Caenorhabditis elegans: one gene and its partners. The protein of the gene in region 1 interacts with the protein of each later gene in a biochemical or structural test. Each region holds a gene or a part of one and is shown on either strand. Other genes may lie near its edges. The genes, in order: mps-2, mps-3 and kvs-1.

Region 1 (6,507 bases):
TCACTATCAGCATTATTTTGTACTTCATGAGTAGTATGTATTTGTCCGCTCCGGTGCAGCTTTCAACCCACTTTTTGGGTCTCATGTGTCGGAGTACAGCTGATTCCTTCACATTATCTTCACATTTTTCTGACATGGACAATATTTTCATCCAGTTAGATAACATTTTCCAGGCAAGAACATTTCCATATTTCTTGAAAATAATCAGTATTGTTCCAATTCGACTCCGAAAATGATTCAGAATTTCATCGTTGGAACATATTTGGTGACTTTTGTTTAGAATGTTCTCAATATTCTTGATTGTTTTCGAGATTATTTGATAATCCGGAAAACTCGTTTGATCGGTTCGAATGTCCAAGTCGAAGACTTCGAACTCGTATTTTTCAATTTTTTCAGTGCAATTCTGACTTCTTTGTGCAAGTTGATCTACTATCGTGTTTTCCATCTTGACTTTTGAAAAAAAAAATTAAATTGACAAGCTGCAGACTTTTCAATTAATGACAGAAGATGTGTTTTGCAAAGGTGTTTGAAGAAATTTGCTGAATTGTCCGATTTGATGCTGATGAGAATCAGACTTTTTGACGTAGCTCTCTCTTTTCTGATGGTTTGAAAAAAAAACTAACGAAACAAAGATTCCAATTGGTTGTTGGTGTTGTAGCGGTAGATGTAGTGGAATGATGATAAAATTAGCTCTTTGATTCAGTACTTGTTGAGGTTAGAATAGGGTGAGTTCCCATGTCCCTTTCTTTTTCCCTCGGTTAGTTGTCTTCGTTGTCTCTTTTTCCGTCTTGTCCTCGGGGTCATTATTCATTTTGCCAATGGAGGTATCTCTTTTTTTCGTGCACTCTCTCATTGAGAGTAGTACTCCACAATAAACAATCGGAGCGAAAGTGTAGATAACAGCAACGTCTCGGACCAATTGTGTAAACCAGATTGGTTTTTGCAATTTTGCAACTCGATTGTATAAACGTGACGGAACAACTTTTCTTTCATCGATGAGTTTAATCATCTTTACACTGATGAAGACCTTGCGAGATAAGAATAAATTTTTGTGGAGTATCAACTCTCGTTTTTTCCTTATCTCATTTCTTCGGGAATTCCAGAAACAAATCATTTTGTTGTTCCTTTTCGCTGTCTCTGCTATTAAGAAACTGACTATGTCTCAAATAGGGGAAACTTCGAAGCAGCTTTTCCATTTGGCGTTTCAAAAAAAATTTGTGGAATCTTTTCTGAATGGGAAAACACGGAAATAATTCAATGCGCGGCTTACATACTTGACGACTTAAAAAAAAACCTGGAGACAAATGTGTTGTGTCAAGTCTTGCCATTCGTCGGACTAAGATGCAGTGAATCTTTTGAGTCTACGACGGGAATTTTACTGATCAAACTGGAATCAATGAAGATGAATTGTGGAGGTAGAAGAGTGAATTGTATTCCCACTGTTAATTAGAGCATTTTTTCCAATTACTCCCTATATTAATTAACGGGTAAACAAGGAACGAATGTGATGCATATTATCACGTCTGACAATAAGCATGCTATTTGAGATTCACTGGACTAGAAACTCAAAAGTTGTTGTGAGGTTTGAATCAACAATTCTCAAAAAGAGTCTACTCTGACTAGCTCTTTTCTTGAAATGGACCAAATTCAAACTCTCGTTCCATAGTTTTGAAAACAATACACAACTGAATCAGCTTTTGTTTTTTTCTGGAGAGCGTAGATTTTTCATGGGCTTTTGAAAAAAAAAATTATTTTATCGTCCTTTGGATGAGTTTCTTTGAAGAGAGAGAGTGTGTGTGTTTTTTTTGTATTTTTTCTTGGGTTTTTAGAGATTAAAGGAAATAGAGAGAAATTAATTTTACTTGATTTTTAGAAAAATTTAGTGAAATTGAAAAGAAAAAAATGGTAAGACTCAAAAGACTAGAACATCGAACCAAACTCTGTCTGCCTTGATGGAATAGAGCACAGACACCACTAAACTAGTTTAGAATGGAAGGATCTCACCGAAAACTTTTCAGATGAAATAAAAGTTTTTAGGTGGAATTTTTTTCTTTTGACTTTGAAGAGAGAAAATCATATGAAGATGAAATCTCAGTCAAAAGCTCGGTGGTACCTACATGTTACCGTACGCGATCGTGCCAGATCTCGTAGATAAAATAATAGAAAACATATGAATATATCGATATGTTTATTGAGATGAGGGGGAGAAGGACGGGTGTCCGTCTCCCAGCCTCCCGATAGAATGATGTTAATTCTCATGGAATAGAATGTCTCTATTCTCTCGTGCTCTCTCACCCCACCAACTGTCGTTGACAGATGGCAATGATCAAGGGCACTCGATAAATAGAAACCGAGAAGCAGTATAGAACTGACCTCTCACACTACTATGCGGCTGCCCCGCTCCCGACCTTTATGATAACCCCACTTCCTATATTATTCTTTTTATGTATTGCATATATTCTATTATATATATATAAACATCCTATAACCCCAAGGAATTCCAGGTCGGTATATTTAACCTCAACGAGGTACTTTAGGCTAGGAATAAGAACCACTCTCAACCCTAGCGAGAGTTAGATAAAGGTTGATTATAATATTAGGTGCCGAGAGCACGCCTATAACATGAAGGTACCACCGAGCCAGGAAATAATTTTTTGGGGTGCCCCTGTATGTAAGATCGCAGGTTCCAAAATTGTTTCTGCGAACTCAGAGGAGTCAGGAGTTCACCTAACTATTCCCTAGTAAGTGTGCCATAACCGCTACACCAAGGCCACACCAATATCTATTTGGATTCCCCCATTCCTATCACCATCAAACCCCTTCCCATCTATTATTCTATTCTCGTCTGGTTGGAAGAGCATGGAGACAGTTTCCAGTACACATCACGCCTCTGCAAAACGGACAAAGCAGATTCTCTTCAAACGGTCAAGGAATTCCCGACGTTGGACCAACTCCCCCTGATGCGGCTTGAGTTTTTTTTCTTTTGATTATTAGTTGTTCTTTATTGATTCAATCTCTATTCTAGCCTGAGGGCATCATGAGCCAAGTTTGAGCCATTTTATTGTGTTGAGTAAGCAAAGTTCCCCGCACATTTTTTTTTGAGTATTGAGAATACACTAGTTTGAAGAGTTCCCCATTTTCTTTGTATTGTATGTAGATAAGTTACTGTTGAGTAAAATGACCTCTAATTATATTGTTAAGTCCGTTTTCTTAGAATTTCACATTTTGAAATAAGTATTTGTGTCTGCCTGAGGCAATAGAAATTAAAGAGACTCTGTTGTATTGCATTTTAATGAGATGAGAGTAGGATTTTATTTGGTATAGTTTTTTCATATGTTGTTTATCCTTCTTGAAAGGGCTTTAAACTCTTGCACTAAAACACTAGCGCTTTGAGGACAAAGCACTTTTGAGAGGGTAGGATGGCGTGCCGTTACCGTCATCTGTTATTTTTCTTTTTGGGAATCTGAGTTCTGTAAGCCTAACATCAAAAGCTTCGGGACGAAGCTGCTCAAAAAGGGCGGCATGTGAGAGGTCAGTTCTATACTGCTTCTCGGTTTCTATTTATCGAGTGCCCTTGATCATTGCCATCTGTCAACGACAGTTGGTGGGGTGAGAGAGCACGAGAGAATAGAGACATTCTATTCCATGAGAATTAACATCATTCTATCGGGAGGCTGGGAGACGGACACCCGTCCTTCTCCCCCTCATCTCAATAAACATATCGATATATTCATATGTTTTCTATTATTTTATCTACGAGATCTGGCACGATCGCGTACGGTAACAGTAGGGCGACTCCCACCAGACTAACTTGTGTGCGCCTGCACTTAGGGGCGGGCCGCCATGGAAGTAAATGAAGAAGGAAGATAGGCATGCCTGATAGGAGGCTTGCCATCGTATCCTTCCACAGTTTATTTATTTACTCTTCCTTTGATAAAATGTCTGAAACGTAAGTTGAACTCATTGTTTTCCCAAAAAATTCGAAATTTGAGAAAAAAATGCTTGAAAATCCAGATTCTGTGGAAAAATTTCCAGTATTGGATCCTCTGTAAGTGATTTTGTAATTTCAGAAAAAAAAATTTATTAAACATTTTTTGAGAAAACGTTTTTCAGAAGTTTTTTTCAGAAAAAAGAATGTACTCCTGTCCCTGCACTCTCTTTCATCTTTAATCCACGTGGCAATGTTCTATTTCCTATTGGTCCAATGGAGTAAAGCCGATAATCCAGTTCTCACACATTTTCAGAGTAGGAATCCAAAAATTGAAGTTGTTAAGGTTTTTGAAAATTAATTTTCAGTTTTCTGCCTGGTGATTATTGGAATCGGATTTTTGATTATCTTGATCTTAATATTCAGTATTTTTAAATCCGAAATGAAAAGTGACTCACATGCAAGACGATTCTTTCATATGTAAGTTTATGTCTTAAAAATTGAGATTTTAAATTTAATGCTGCTCAAACCAGCTCAAATTCTAATTTTTCCAAAACATTCTTGCGGGGGTACGAAATTTTAATACCAATTTTGATATTGTCGGTACAGACTTTTTAAAATTAAGACAATTGTTTTGGCTGAAATTTTGGTTTTTAAATTTTAAAAGTGGAGTAACGCCGGGGGGGCAGTGTTAAAACTACTTCAATGGTGCCAAAATGACCGAATTTCAAAAAAAAACCTTTCCAAAAAAACGTTTTGAAAATTTTTGAAGTGTTTTATTATGATATTCGGTTATTTTGGCTCATCATAAGTGTATTTAGACAAAATCCTCACTGGTGCTACCCCAAATAAAACTTTTCACCATTTTCCAGTTGGCCACTGGTACATATCGCCTTATCCACCGCCTATCAGCTCTTCACGCAAATTGTGATATCTCATTGGAAAACTTACCAGGTTTGTCAACCTATATAATTAAATTCGTCAGAAAATTTTTCAGATCCCAATCCTCTACTCATCCTATGCAACTACCGTCTCTGTTTGCATTCATTTAGTTCTGCACTCCATGGCGGTTTTTTGGAAAGTATAATTTTTCATAAAATTTATTCAAATGTTATGTTGTTATGCCATTGGCAATATTCGACTTCAATACTAAAAAATCTTTGAAAATTATTATTTTTCTCATCAGTTGAAATTATTTTTTCAATGGTGACTTCCAAAAAAGCGCAAAAGTATGAAGAATCATATGAGTTGCAACTGATATAGAGGCCGCAATTGAGGACGCCAGATTTGGTACCTGAAACGTAGAATTGAAATTGGGAATTGAGTATTGAATCTGCTAAATTCTGAGAAAGAACTTTCATACTTTTATTGACAATTGAGATGCCAAAAGTTGAACAACAAATTGATAGATTGTTGCACACGCGATGTTGAACAGGGGGAGTCTGAAAATACCTTTAAAGCTTGATTGAGATTGATTTTAGCCGTAAGCTTTTTCTCTGGTTTAGGTTCAGGCCTAGGCTTACGCTTTGGCTTAGGCTTAGGCTTATGCCTAGGGGTACATTCTAGCTTGGCCTTTTTTCACTTACGAAATGAAAAACTCCGTCTCTGCCTTTTCGTTTTTATATTTTCCGTGCAACATCCAGACGAAGCCGCCGAACGCGAGAAGTAATAAACACAAGACGAAAACCATCAGAATAATCGCTGAAATTAGGTTTGATTTTCTAAATTTCGAGTCAAAATGTTCTGAAACTCACCTCCAACTACAGTAATTTTTGGATCGATTGCATTGTACCATTCAAGAAACAAGGTATAGGTCATAATGACATGAATTAAAAACGAGATACCGTGTCCAATGAGGAGTTTCTTTTTTTTGCTGCAATATTTTTCAAAATCCAATAAAAATTATAACTTTGACCCACTCTTTCACATCGGGAGGAAGGTTATACTGCATTTTTGCGTGCTCTTTTTCCCCGTTCGAGGCCTGAACTGTCTCTGAGGCAGAATGGCCGTTCGACGTATGACGTCCGAGTGAGAAACTTTGCAAGGCTGCGCTAAAGTCCTTGATTAACTTTGGGTCCCGAATGTGTTGCAAAACAGAGGCAATGTTCTGCGGGATATGTTCACTGAAAATAACTTTTTTTTTTTAAATCATCTTAAACGTCTTTTTGTGTTTTTTTTTCAAACACGTATGGATTTCTTTGACTTTTTTGGTATGAAAATTGTTGTTTTGTGGACAGAGCGTCGGCGTGAGTCTCGCACTTAAAATCTTTTTTTTACTTGACTCACTCTTTGTGATCTGTTGGTGTCTGTTTTGGGTCGGTTGCACTGAAAATAATTACATTAATTATTCGATTTGTTCAACTTTTCGAATTTTCGAATAAACCGTCAAATATGATTTTTAAAAAAAAACTCACTATCAGCATTTAATTTGTACTTCATGCTTGAATATTTTATAAGATAACTATTATTTTAGTATATTTCTATTTGAATCAATAATTTACTTACTCTTTGTTTTCATTTGAAGATGTTTTCTTTTGGTCGGTTGCACTGCAAATAATTTTTTAAAAATTTTTTGAATG
Region 2 (4,926 bases), on another chromosome or scaffold:
GTTTAAGTGCAAACATAAATTCCTGAGATCCCATGTTGTAGTTTATGAAGACGATGAGGTGTTGTGAGTAGAAATGAAAAATGAGAAATGTTGTATTTAATATTATAAATTGTTTCAGCGACAACGTTATCAGTAAACACCATTACGTGTTCCATACAAATGCACCACATATGTATCTCGTTGAGGCTGAAGATACCAATGACGGATTGCCAAAGTTTTTGGATGTATTACTTTTTAATTTCCCGCTTTTTCTCTAGTATTTCTCAGAAAATTTGAATTTCCCGCCAAAATTTTTTATCAGAAAATTTGAATTTCCCACCAAAATTTTTTATCAGAAGATTTGAATTTCCCACCAAAATTTTTTCTCAGAAAATTTGAATTTCCCACCAAAATTTTTTCTCAGAAAACTTGAAATTCCCGCCAAAAACTTTTTCTCAGAATTTTGAAATTCCCGCTAAAAAATGTTTCTCAGAAAATTTGAAATTCCCGCTAAAAAATTTTTCTCAGAAAATTAAAAATCCCCGCCAAAACTTTTTCTCAGAGAATTTGAATTTGCCGCCAAAAAATTGTTTTCTCATAAAATCTGAATTTCCCACCAAAATTTTTTCTCAGAAAATTTGAAATTCCCGCTAAAAAATTTTTCTCAGAAAATTTGAATTTCCCGCCAAAAAATTGTTTTCTCATAAAATCTGAATTTCCCACCAAAATTTTTTCTCAGAAAATTTGAAATTCCCGCCAAAAAGTGAACATTCTAGGAGTTTGGCAGTTTACCAAAACCTTGACTGACCATTTTGGAAAATCGAATAACCTCTTAAATAAAAACTCTAACTTGTAAAAATTTAAAAATTTAAATATATAGCTTTGCAGTCCTATTTCGAGTTATACATGATCATCGTCCACGATTGCACGGATAATGGGAAATACAAGTTGTTGACAGTTGACTTGGGATCTTATTATATCAAGGATGGGTAGGTACTTTCTACAGGGCAGGCTAGGGCTTCCATGGGAAGCAGGAGCGGTTTGCCGGCTTCTCGCCTGATTCCTGCACTTTGGCAAAAAGTCAAAGCCTCGATGCTCACACATAGGGCTGGCATATTGGACGTCCGGTTTTTTGAAATTTTAAATTTTTCCGAGAGGTAGTTTTTTTTGTACGGCGGCCGACAATTTCCGAGTTTGGCCACTCATGATAAAATTATATGATTAAGTATAGTGAGTGGCCAAACTCGGAAGTTGTCGGCCGCCGTAAAAAAAACTACCTCTCGGAAAATTTTAACATTTCAAAAAACCGGACGACCGGACGCCCAATATGTCAGCCCTACTCACACCAAATAGTACTATAAGCGGTTTTTTTTGCCGCAGCCGACACTTTACGGTTTCCACGCCGCACTGTACAGAAGGCGCGGCCCGAGGCAGTTGTCAGGCGTTTTGGCGCCTATATGCAAGCTCTAGGGCAGGCATTTCTGTTTTCAAAAAAATGAATATTTTCAGGCAGTACGATGAAACACGCAACATTGATCTGAACAATGCCGGTGAATGGACAAACGAAGTAATCGGAACAAAGGCGATGGTGATGTCCAAGATATTTATTTTCAATGTTTGATAAAATTGTTCATCAATATTCGAGCCTACCTGCCTACCTGCCTACAAGGTAGCCTACATATATTATTTTTCCTAATTAACAAAAATATAATTAAAACATGATTAAGATTTTCTGAAAATGAGCAAAAAGTGTTTTTAACTTCCACTTTTTGCCCAACAGGTTTAAGATAGGCATGTGACAAAGCCTACATTCAAGGCAACCTACGCCTGCCTCGGTACATGGTGCATCGACCAATATTTACCTCTTAGCTTCGAGAGCTTATATCTCGGTTACATTTTGCTCTATCAAAAAATGGCCAACTGAAAAACTGTTCTCCAATGCTTTTTCTACAATTTTGTGGTTAAAATTTTTTTAATATCTTGAAAACTAGCGAAAATATAAGCCACCAAGTCGCGCGCCGCCCCCCGAGAAAGCAATTCCAACCCAAGTTTATTGCAATAAAAACCAGTAGAAACGAAAGAAATGAGGTTGATTTTGGAGACTTTTCAGGTGACACGGGGAGCTTTTACATTGTTGGCATTATTCAGATTCGATTGAGAAGGAGAAGTCGTGGGGAGGCTGAAAAATGTTCTAAAGTTGTTGAAAAAAAAAACAAATCTGCATTTTTTAAAAACCTGATTCTTAGACTTCCATCCATTGCCATAAGTGCACAGAACAGTCTGTTGCTCTTGCTCTTTGTGCTCCGTGTCCTCGGAGCCATCATCAACCTTGTCTGGAACTGTCGGTGTTGGCTCAGTTGACGGAGCAAATGAGGAGGATGGTGTCGCAGATTCTTCAGTTGGTTTGGGAGATGATGGCGGAGCTGGCTGAGGTGGAATTGGAGATGCTCTTTTTTTTGGGGTTACTGCAGACTGTTTGCTCTTCAAACTCTTGCTCCGCGATTTTGTGCTCTTTTTTGTTTTCTTCTTTGGCTGCTTTTGTTGCTTCTTGCTTTTTATCTGAAAATTAGAGTTTCTAGGCAATCAAGCGATTTTCTAGGCCACCAGACATATATTTAGCCATGTCGGAATTTTCTAGGCCATCACAGACAGTTCTAGGCCATATAGAAATTTTCCTAGGCCACCTAAAACTTTTCTAGGCCACCAACAGTTTTCTATGACCGCGATTTTTGCTAGGCCACCAACAAAAGCAAATAACACATTTTCTAGGCCACCAACAGAATTTCAAATTTTTCTAGGCCTTTAACTCACATATTTCACAATGGAAGCGGCGGCGAACACGATGAAGGCTACAATGAGAATGCCAATAATTATGAATATCACTACTTTGGTCCATGGCGTCGATGATGCTGCAAAAATGGAGGTACAAATATGCAAACGCGCTCTACCGCACTACCAGTGCGGTAGAGCGCGTTTCAAACTAACAGCCAGAAGTTGGCGCCGGTGGTCGCTGAGTGGAGGTGGACATTATCAGGAAATGAATGAGAAAATGGAGAAATTTGGGAAAATTGATTAGAGACGTGGGATTTTTTTTTAATTTTTATAATATTTTTGAGTAGGGGGAAGGGGTGAGGGTCACGGAAAATACCAAAAATTTGTGATTTTTCCATTAAATTGGAGCAAAATTGACACCATACCTCGTGGCCTAGAAAACTGCAGAATTTCTAGGCCACACACGTTACGTCATAATTTACCTGTTAAACCAGGTAACCAACAATCAAATCAAGAGTAATTAATCATCTCCTATCTTCTTTTATTTCTCCGTTCCTACTCCCAATGTTTTTTTTTTGTAATTTGTGATCACAAATTGTTGCATTTTGTAGTACGCCATGTACGTCTGTGTACTACTTTTTTCTGAAAAGAATACAAAAATGTTCGCTTTCAGGAAAAAATAGTGAGAGGTAGAAGAAAATTACGGGGACTAGAAATATGTAAAAGTTCGACAACGTAGGCAGGTAGGCAGGTAGGCAAGTAGGCAGTTAGGCAGGTAGGCAGGTAGGTAGGCAGGATAGTAGGCTGCCAGGCATAATAAAGATGCAGGCACGTAGGCGGATGTTGCAGGCATGAGAAGTCACGGGGGTAGGCAGGCATGTGGGTATGTAAGCAGATGTAGGTATGTTGCAGTCATGATGAAGGCACGTGGGTAGGTAGGTAACTAGTTAGGCTGGTAGGGAGGTAGACAGGTAGGCAGGCAGGCAGACGCGTAGGAAGAGTTAGCCAGGATGCAGGCACGTAGGCAGATGTAGGTATGTTGCAGGCATGCTGAAGTCACGTGGGTAGGCAGATTGGTAGATGTGTACGCAGAGTAGGTATGTTGCGGGTATTATGAAGGCACGTGAGTAGGTAAGCAGGCAGGTAGGTAGGCAGGCAGGTAGGTAGACATGTAAATATGCAGGCATATACGTAGGGAGAACAAGCCATAATTCAGGCACGTAGGCAGATTTAGGTATGTTGTAGGCATGATGACGTAACGTGGGTAGGCAGATAGGCAGGTAGGCAGGCTCGTAAGCTGGCAGGCATAATAAAGACACATAAGCAGGCATGTAAATCTGCAGGCAGATACGTAGGAAGAGCAAGCCAGGATGCAGGCACGTAGGCAGATGTAGGTATGTTACAGGCATGATGAAGGCACGTGGGTAGGCAGGTAGGTAGGCAGCCAGGCAGGATCGGAGGTTGGTAAGCATAAAAAAGACAGGTAGGCGGGTAGGCAAGCATGTAAATGTGCAGGCAGATACGTAGAAAGAGCAAGCCAGGATGCAGGCACGTAGGCAGATGTAGGCATGTTGCAGGCATGATGAAGGCACGTGAGTAGGTATGCAGGGAGGTAGGTAGGCAGGCATGCAGGCACATAGGCAGATGTAGGTATGATTCAGGTAGGCAGGCAGGTAGGAAGACTGAATGCAGGCGTGTTGCTAGGCAATAGCGCCCTTTCCTTGTTATGACAATCTCGATAATCTAATAATAAGCTATTCAATCATATCACTGCGCCGATACACAAACTACCTGTTTTTTTGAGTATGCGTCTCGTCCCGTCTGCCCAAAAGCTTCTACAGAGTGATTAGACGGTATAAGGGGGAGAGATAGGATAGATTTCAATCATTCTCACTTTTTTCGTCCCTTTCTCTGTCTTCCTTCTCCCTTTTTTTACAGGGCGCTTTTCCCTTTTTCGTGTGTGTGAAGAGAGAGAGTGCATACAGGTGTAGAGGACGCCCAGACATCGAGACGGAACAGGATTCTTCATCGTCTTCAGCTATTTGGAAGAAGGAGTAGAAGGTGACGGTGTGTGTTTGGAGACGTGTAATCATCATGTCTTATAACACTTCCTTGCTCATTTTTCTCTGCTTCTCTGCCGTCTCTCTATCCACACAGTCTTTCGCCGTTTATCGA
Region 3 (6,136 bases), on another chromosome or scaffold:
ACCGTATTTTTTCAATTTTAATGATAAAATATATTGATCAGTGGGTCATTTTACGAGTGGATCAGTTTACAACATTTTACGTGTGGAGGCTGAAAAAACATTGAAAAAAAAAACGGAAGCGGAAATAAATCATGGGAGGTTAGCAACGTGTTGTGATTTAAAACATAGTTTTTTTTTTTGAAATTTAATTTTGAAAGCTGTTCAATTGAGGGGTTTCAAAAATTTCCAGGTACGTTTTTTTTCTATTAGTTATGCTCTGACTTTCAAGATATATAAGTTTTGATTTTTTCGCTACAAACTTCAAATGGTAAGCCTTTTCTTCAAACGTTTGTGTTCTTCTTGAATTTTCCCCCTTCAAAAAAAGTGCATCGGAATGGTGATGTAGTGGTGGATAGACAGAAAACTTAAAAATACAAAATAAATAAGGATGTGGTTAGGTAGTAGGTACTTGCTTTTTTCGAGAAAGCGCAAGAAATCAAAGGTGCGCGGCCACCAAAAAGGTGCACAAATTCTATTACACTTGGCGGGTGTTGGCGGTGCTGTCAAATCAAATACTTCTGATTTTCGAGTAAAAATAGAAATAGAAAAAGAAATCTAGCAATCGTAGAAACATGGCTGATGTTTTACTAGAAAAATTGAAATTTGAAGTCAAAGGATGCAACAAAAATGTGGACAGAAATGGAAGACGAAGAAAGCAATTCGGCAATACTGAAGAACCCTCAGAATCTCTGACACCATTTCGTTTATGGGAAAAATTGTGTGTTCCGAACATGAGGAAAAACACACAAAAACAAGAAAAAAGGAAGCGCTCACGGATTTATGAAAACATTTAAGAAACATTTTTTGAGCAATTGTCCTGTAAAAGTAATGCATATTTATGCAATAAACACTTGAATGACCTTTGATTTGTTAGAACGTTTAACTCGGATTTTCAGTGCACAAGAAAATTCTCAGTTAATTTATCTTGCTTCCCGCTTGGTGCTGTGATTTAGTTATTCTCATTTTTAGAGGTTACCTTACTATTATCAAATAAAACACAAATTCTCAAATTCTGTGTGTAAAAATTCTCGCAAAGACTTGAAAGCTGTAAAAAAGCTTATTCAGAATAAATTTCTTTCGCTTTTTCATTTCTGTCAAGAGGGTCATCGAACAAGGTTGATCGACAAAAGTAAATTAAAATTCGAATGATCATTGACACATGGTCAGGCTGACGTAGTCAAACTGTCAAGATTTGTGGCACATTCAAAAGTTAAGGATCTCTAAACTCAGATCAGCTATATTCGAAAATGAAATAGTGCGATAAAAAGTGATTTAACAGGCTATGCTTGACATATTTATCAAAACGTAAAAAAATTTTCCAATCTGCTCCAGATATAGACTCTTATATGGGCAACTAGAAAATTAAATTGAAAATCAAAAATGCGAGCAAAAGTTTTGATCAAACTACATTAAATTTTTTATGAAATATTTTGATCACGTTTTTGCACATTTTAACATAAAACTCACTTCTGGTCCACCAACATTATTGAAAAATAGTGATACTCTTCTGATAATATTCTTGAACATCATTCAAAAGAAGTGAGCAGCCTAACTCTGACGTAGGCCGAAACACCATGTCGTTGTTTCTTGCGAAGTATCAAAATATCATATTACCACGTGGAAACAACTATTATCGCAAAAAGTTGCCTAGAGATCAATCGACTAGTTTTTTAACTTTAGATGATGTGTTTAGTATGATGTTTCAATTTTTTAAAATACCAAGCCAAGCCAAGTATTATTAATAAACAATTCCAAAATTTTTTAAAACTTTTCCAAATTTCCTGTCAAAATTTTTACAATTAGCAAATTTTCAGAAAATGTGGCACCTTGAGAATTCTTATTCATTGTCGTAAGTTCTAACATCTACAATGTTCAAATATAGCCAATTAAAATGCATTAAAACTATAAAACATGCAAAAAAAATTTTTTTTTGGTCGACTTTGAAAATTATGATGGTTGAAAATTAGATTTTCACCATTTTTGCGTGTACATATATAACTTCAAAATTTTTTGAAAATGTTTACTACAGTTTTTGACAGTTTTAAAACATTTTCTCACTGCCGATACTCTTTTTATTCTGTTGAAATCTGGGAAAATTAATAAATAAAGTTGAAAATTACTTTTTCTCTCTGATTTACCCAAACAAATTTTTAAAAAACTACTGTCTTTGCTTCTTCCAAGAGTCTTTCCCAATGAACCAATTTTTTTCTCAACCATTTTTTTCGATTTCCACTCAAATTTTAATAAAAAATCCAATATTGATCCTCATTTCATTTGTTTTCTAAAAAAGAAAAGTGCAGCTAATTGACATATTCCAACTCTACAGGAAACCAATATGTGCATCCGAAAGTCGTTGGGGGAGACTTATACAAAAGACCAGAAAACCTTTAAATAAAAGCATTGCTCAAATTCCTTCCTCATTCCAAAAATAAATTTCATAGTTCTAAATTAAAAATTCGAAAACGATTTGGTTCGGATCTTCGACTTTTTGCAAGCTGAACAAAAAGATAAGAAAAAAGGAAATAGCTTTAGAGGCGAGAGGAACATGGACTAAAAAGTCTTGATCAGGAATTCATGGTGAACTCCTTTTCACATCACAGAATCTTCGTTTTTTTTTCGAATACCAAAGCTGGTTTTTTCCTTTTTTTTTCTTTTTTTTTTAACGATAGTTTTTCAAAAACCAAAAAACCATTTCACAGAGAAACACACAAAAAAAACGTACCGCAAGCTTTTACATCGCCTCATCATTTTCAGCGTCTTTAGTTATTTCAGAATGTGAGACAGATTCGGAAACGAAAGAAAAAGTGGCAGAGATCTAATTGATGAATTGAACCCCCATCTGCGGCTATGTTCTCTTTTTGTTCAACTTTTTCCTGTGTCCGACCGCAACCGGAGTAAGGGGTATGGTGAATGTGGATAAAACGATGAGAGAAGTAGAGGCTTCGTAGTTGAAATTTTTAAAGTTTGTGGTTGTGATAGTTTTTGTTGACAAGAATGAATTAGGTATGGTTCGTATCTTTAGTCTCTGATTTTAAGTTTTGTTTTTGGTAAATGCTCACAAAGCAAGTAATTGTGTAGATTGAAAGTGACGTAAAACCTGTAGGGAATGAGTTCGGAAGCTGGCTCATTAGTTGAGTAAAACGGAATAAATGTAGTTATATTCTCAGAAACTATAGTTTTAGTTTTGTGAATATAAGCTTCAGGAAAAATTAAGTTTTTTAACTGCTTCAGATTCAGAGAGTTTTGGTTATTATTATGAGATTTTAGAGACGTACATAGTAGGCTAATTTTTTCATTGGACTTTTTTTTAAATTAACCGTATTCAAACACTTTTAGGGACAGCGCTGGAAATAACTTAAGTAATCCACATTTTTGTAAATTTGGCAATTCACCCAAGCTCACAAAAATTTGAGTGAATTCTGAACATTATTCGACTGTTTAGTTGCAACTTTTGGTCATTTAGTTTTTAAGAATTTCCCATTCTAACATAGAAAAGGGTTAATGCCATAGTGCTTAAGATATCTTTAAAAGTGGCATAAAGTTTTCACTATTTTCAAATCGAAATAAAAATTCAAAAAATTTTTATTATGTTTTATTATGATATTTAGTAATTTAAGAACCACATGAAAAATTTGAGTCATTTCCCCTGTGGCCGTACTCTGCGTTCATTCTTTAGAACAATTTTGAAACATTGAAAAACTTGAAAAAAAAATTCTAAATTTCAGACCTGAGAAAATTTTTTATATCAATCAAACCAGTCAAAACGACATCAAATCTCCATTAAATAAACAAAAACAAAAACTCAACACTTACCCTTTATTTAAATCGAGATACATCAGCCTTTCCGTGCTCATGTTGCACAGATTCCACAAAAAGGTGAGACGACGAATGATCTGAAAAAAGGAAAACAAGATGTGAAAAACAAGAATTTTGATTGAGTTTGAAAAATTGATGATACTTGAACTTCAATCAACTCTTCCTGTTTTCCTGTAAAATCTTGAAAACGAACAAGCCACTTTTTCTAAAGAACAAGGCACTTGAAGAAGCGGTATGGAACAAATGTGGGAGGAGAACAAAAAATGTGGGCGGGGCTTAAAAGTCCAGCAGGCAAAACGAAAGTTTCAAAAATCTCAGAGGTCATCGCTTATTTTAGCTGTTTTCATTTCACTTTGGCGTCTTTCAACACTTGCGGAAACCTCAGAACGTGTGGGACTCATCACAATAAATTACTTTTTGAAGTCCGAAGATTGGAGGATAGACGATGAAATGAATCAAATTCTGCTGTAAGATATCGCAGATTTGATCGTAAAACCGTTGAACTTGGCTGTGTTCACCAGGCTCCCGTCATGTGGGAATTCCTGACAGCACTTTCGAATTGAATGAAATTTGAACACAAGAAAAAACATTTCCATCTGCAAACTTGGAATGAATTAAATGGAACAGCTGCTACCCGGGAAAAAAACTCCAAACTATCGTAACTAAAAATTATGTTTAGCAAAAAACTGCAGTGAACCAACTCATATGAACCAGTCAAAGTCATAAATATATCAAAAAGTTCCCAGAGCAAATGATTTTTGAAATAGAAAATTATGGCGGGAAGGGGGAGTTTTAATAGCATTTTTCAACACTTAAAAAATGAACAGTATAACAAAGAAATTATAATTTTTTTAATGTGGCTGTTGTTTTGGGAATATATTAAAAAAAGACGAAAACATTTCAAAATTTTTCGAGTGAATTCGAAATTAAATTAAAAATTAAAAAATTTAGTTTGAAAATGACTCAAAACATATGAACGGATATCCAAATTCCAGTGAAGGCCGTCATAGATAATCTTGCACAATTTTTCGAAATCGTTTCACAAATATAAACGTTCATCGTGTTATCAACAGATTAGCCGCTGAAAAGAAAAGCGGATGAGTGTCCGATTTCTGAGACCTCAGAAAAATTGCATACAGGAAAGTATCCAAGTATGCGGGCAGACATATGTTTTTTGAAAAAAATAGCTCAGTGGAAGAACTGGAAAAAACTGAATTGGCTGTCTAAGAAGTAAGTATTTTCAAAAATACATGTAACGACTTTTTCAACGTGGTTGTTGTGAATTATGCAGCATCAAGTTTGAATAGGTGCAGAAAACATTAACGAAGCAACGATAATAAAACATTAAGACTAGAAAAAACTAAAAATTCGGTTTTTGAAAACGGTAAATTTAATTTTACAGAAACGAAACACATCTTCATTAGAAACAAAATGGATCGGTGGTAAACACACATCAAATTAATTTTTTATGTTTCATTTTATTTTCACTATTAGTATTGAAACACATTCTCGATTCTTCTTTTTTGAGCAGTTTGTTTCACATTTTAGGTAGTTTTTTTGATTTCATATTCAATATTTTATACCTATTTTGTGAAATAACGTATAAATATTGGACAGTTCTCAGAGAAGGGGTTGGACAACTTATCACATTTACTTATACTAATTTCAAAAAAGTTAAATTCAGAAGAGAAGAAACATCAAAGATAAATTCAGAAGAGAAGAAACGAAAAAAACCTAGTTGAAGAAAATACATGAAGTTTCCGATTGTGTTACTTTTTTCTGTTAAGAAAACAGGTTTTTCATGGTTATTAGAAAACTTACATTTCGTTAAAGTTCAGTTTCTAAACAGTTCTCTAAAGTTCTGGAATTTTCTACAGTTCGTAGATTATATGTTAAGGTAGCTTATTATTATTCCTTTATTTCAATTGCTTTGATCAAAAGGAAAGATAGTCAGAAGGGTGGTTCTTACAACAAAAAACAATTAAAACCGTTCATATGCGTTCTAATATGTCAAAAGTACAATGTTTTGATATTTCGGTACTTGTGTAGATTTTTACAATATTCACAAGTTTTGAGCTACGCGGAAGTTCAGGAAGATATACCTTTTTTCTTTATTGCACCTTGACTGAAAACGGAAATTATTATTTTCTAACGAGATTTTATTAACGTTTATACGGCAGTGGGGAAATAGCTAAAAAACTACTCCTATGGTGCTAATATAAACAAATATCAGTAAAATGTTTCAAAGAATTTTAAACAATTTTTGTTAAAAAAAAGGCTT

What was found.
Region 2: of the proteins of mps-2 (region 1) and mps-3, one has a biochemical effect on the other in vitro, tested with the Caenorhabditis elegans proteins (one study listed by BioGRID).
Region 3: of the proteins of mps-2 (region 1) and kvs-1, one has a biochemical effect on the other in vitro, tested with the Caenorhabditis elegans proteins (one study listed by BioGRID).

Annotation. Positions count from the first base shown.
Region 1 is NC_003280.10:308,063-314,569, reverse strand, and holds mps-2 (MiRP K channel accessory Subunit), read left to right. Parts: upstream 1-2,412; coding exon 2,413-2,504; intron 2,505-3,671; exon of another isoform or gene 3,672-3,872; coding exon of another isoform or gene 3,873-3,949; exon of another isoform or gene 3,950-4,126; coding exon 4,127-4,245; intron 4,246-4,296; coding exon 4,297-4,408; intron 4,409-4,800; coding exon 4,801-4,882; intron 4,883-4,925; coding exon 4,926-5,015; downstream 5,016-6,507. Other genes in the region: K01A2.4 (uncharacterized protein), read right to left, coding at 5,121-5,222, 5,292-5,370, 5,515-5,629, 5,683-5,801, 5,848-6,051, 6,215-6,253, 6,434-6,475.
Region 2 is NC_003279.8:758,830-763,755, forward strand, and holds mps-3 (MiRP K channel accessory Subunit), read right to left. Parts: upstream 3,021-4,926; 5' UTR 3,008-3,020; coding exon 2,965-3,007; intron 2,889-2,964; coding exon 2,791-2,888; intron 2,539-2,790; coding exon 2,215-2,538; intron 2,159-2,214; coding exon 2,120-2,158; 3' UTR 2,019-2,119; downstream 1-2,018. Other genes in the region: Y18H1A.8 (TransThyretin-Related family domain), read left to right, coding at 1-63, 119-224, 868-968, 1,489-1,600; T06A4.3 (ShKT domain-containing protein), read left to right, coding at 4,846-4,926.
Region 3 is NC_003284.9:7,703,194-7,709,329, forward strand, and holds the start of kvs-1 (BTB domain-containing protein), read right to left. Parts: upstream 3,939-6,136; 5' UTR 3,894-3,938; coding exon 3,853-3,893; intron 2,907-3,852; exon of another isoform or gene 2,766-2,906; intron 1-2,765.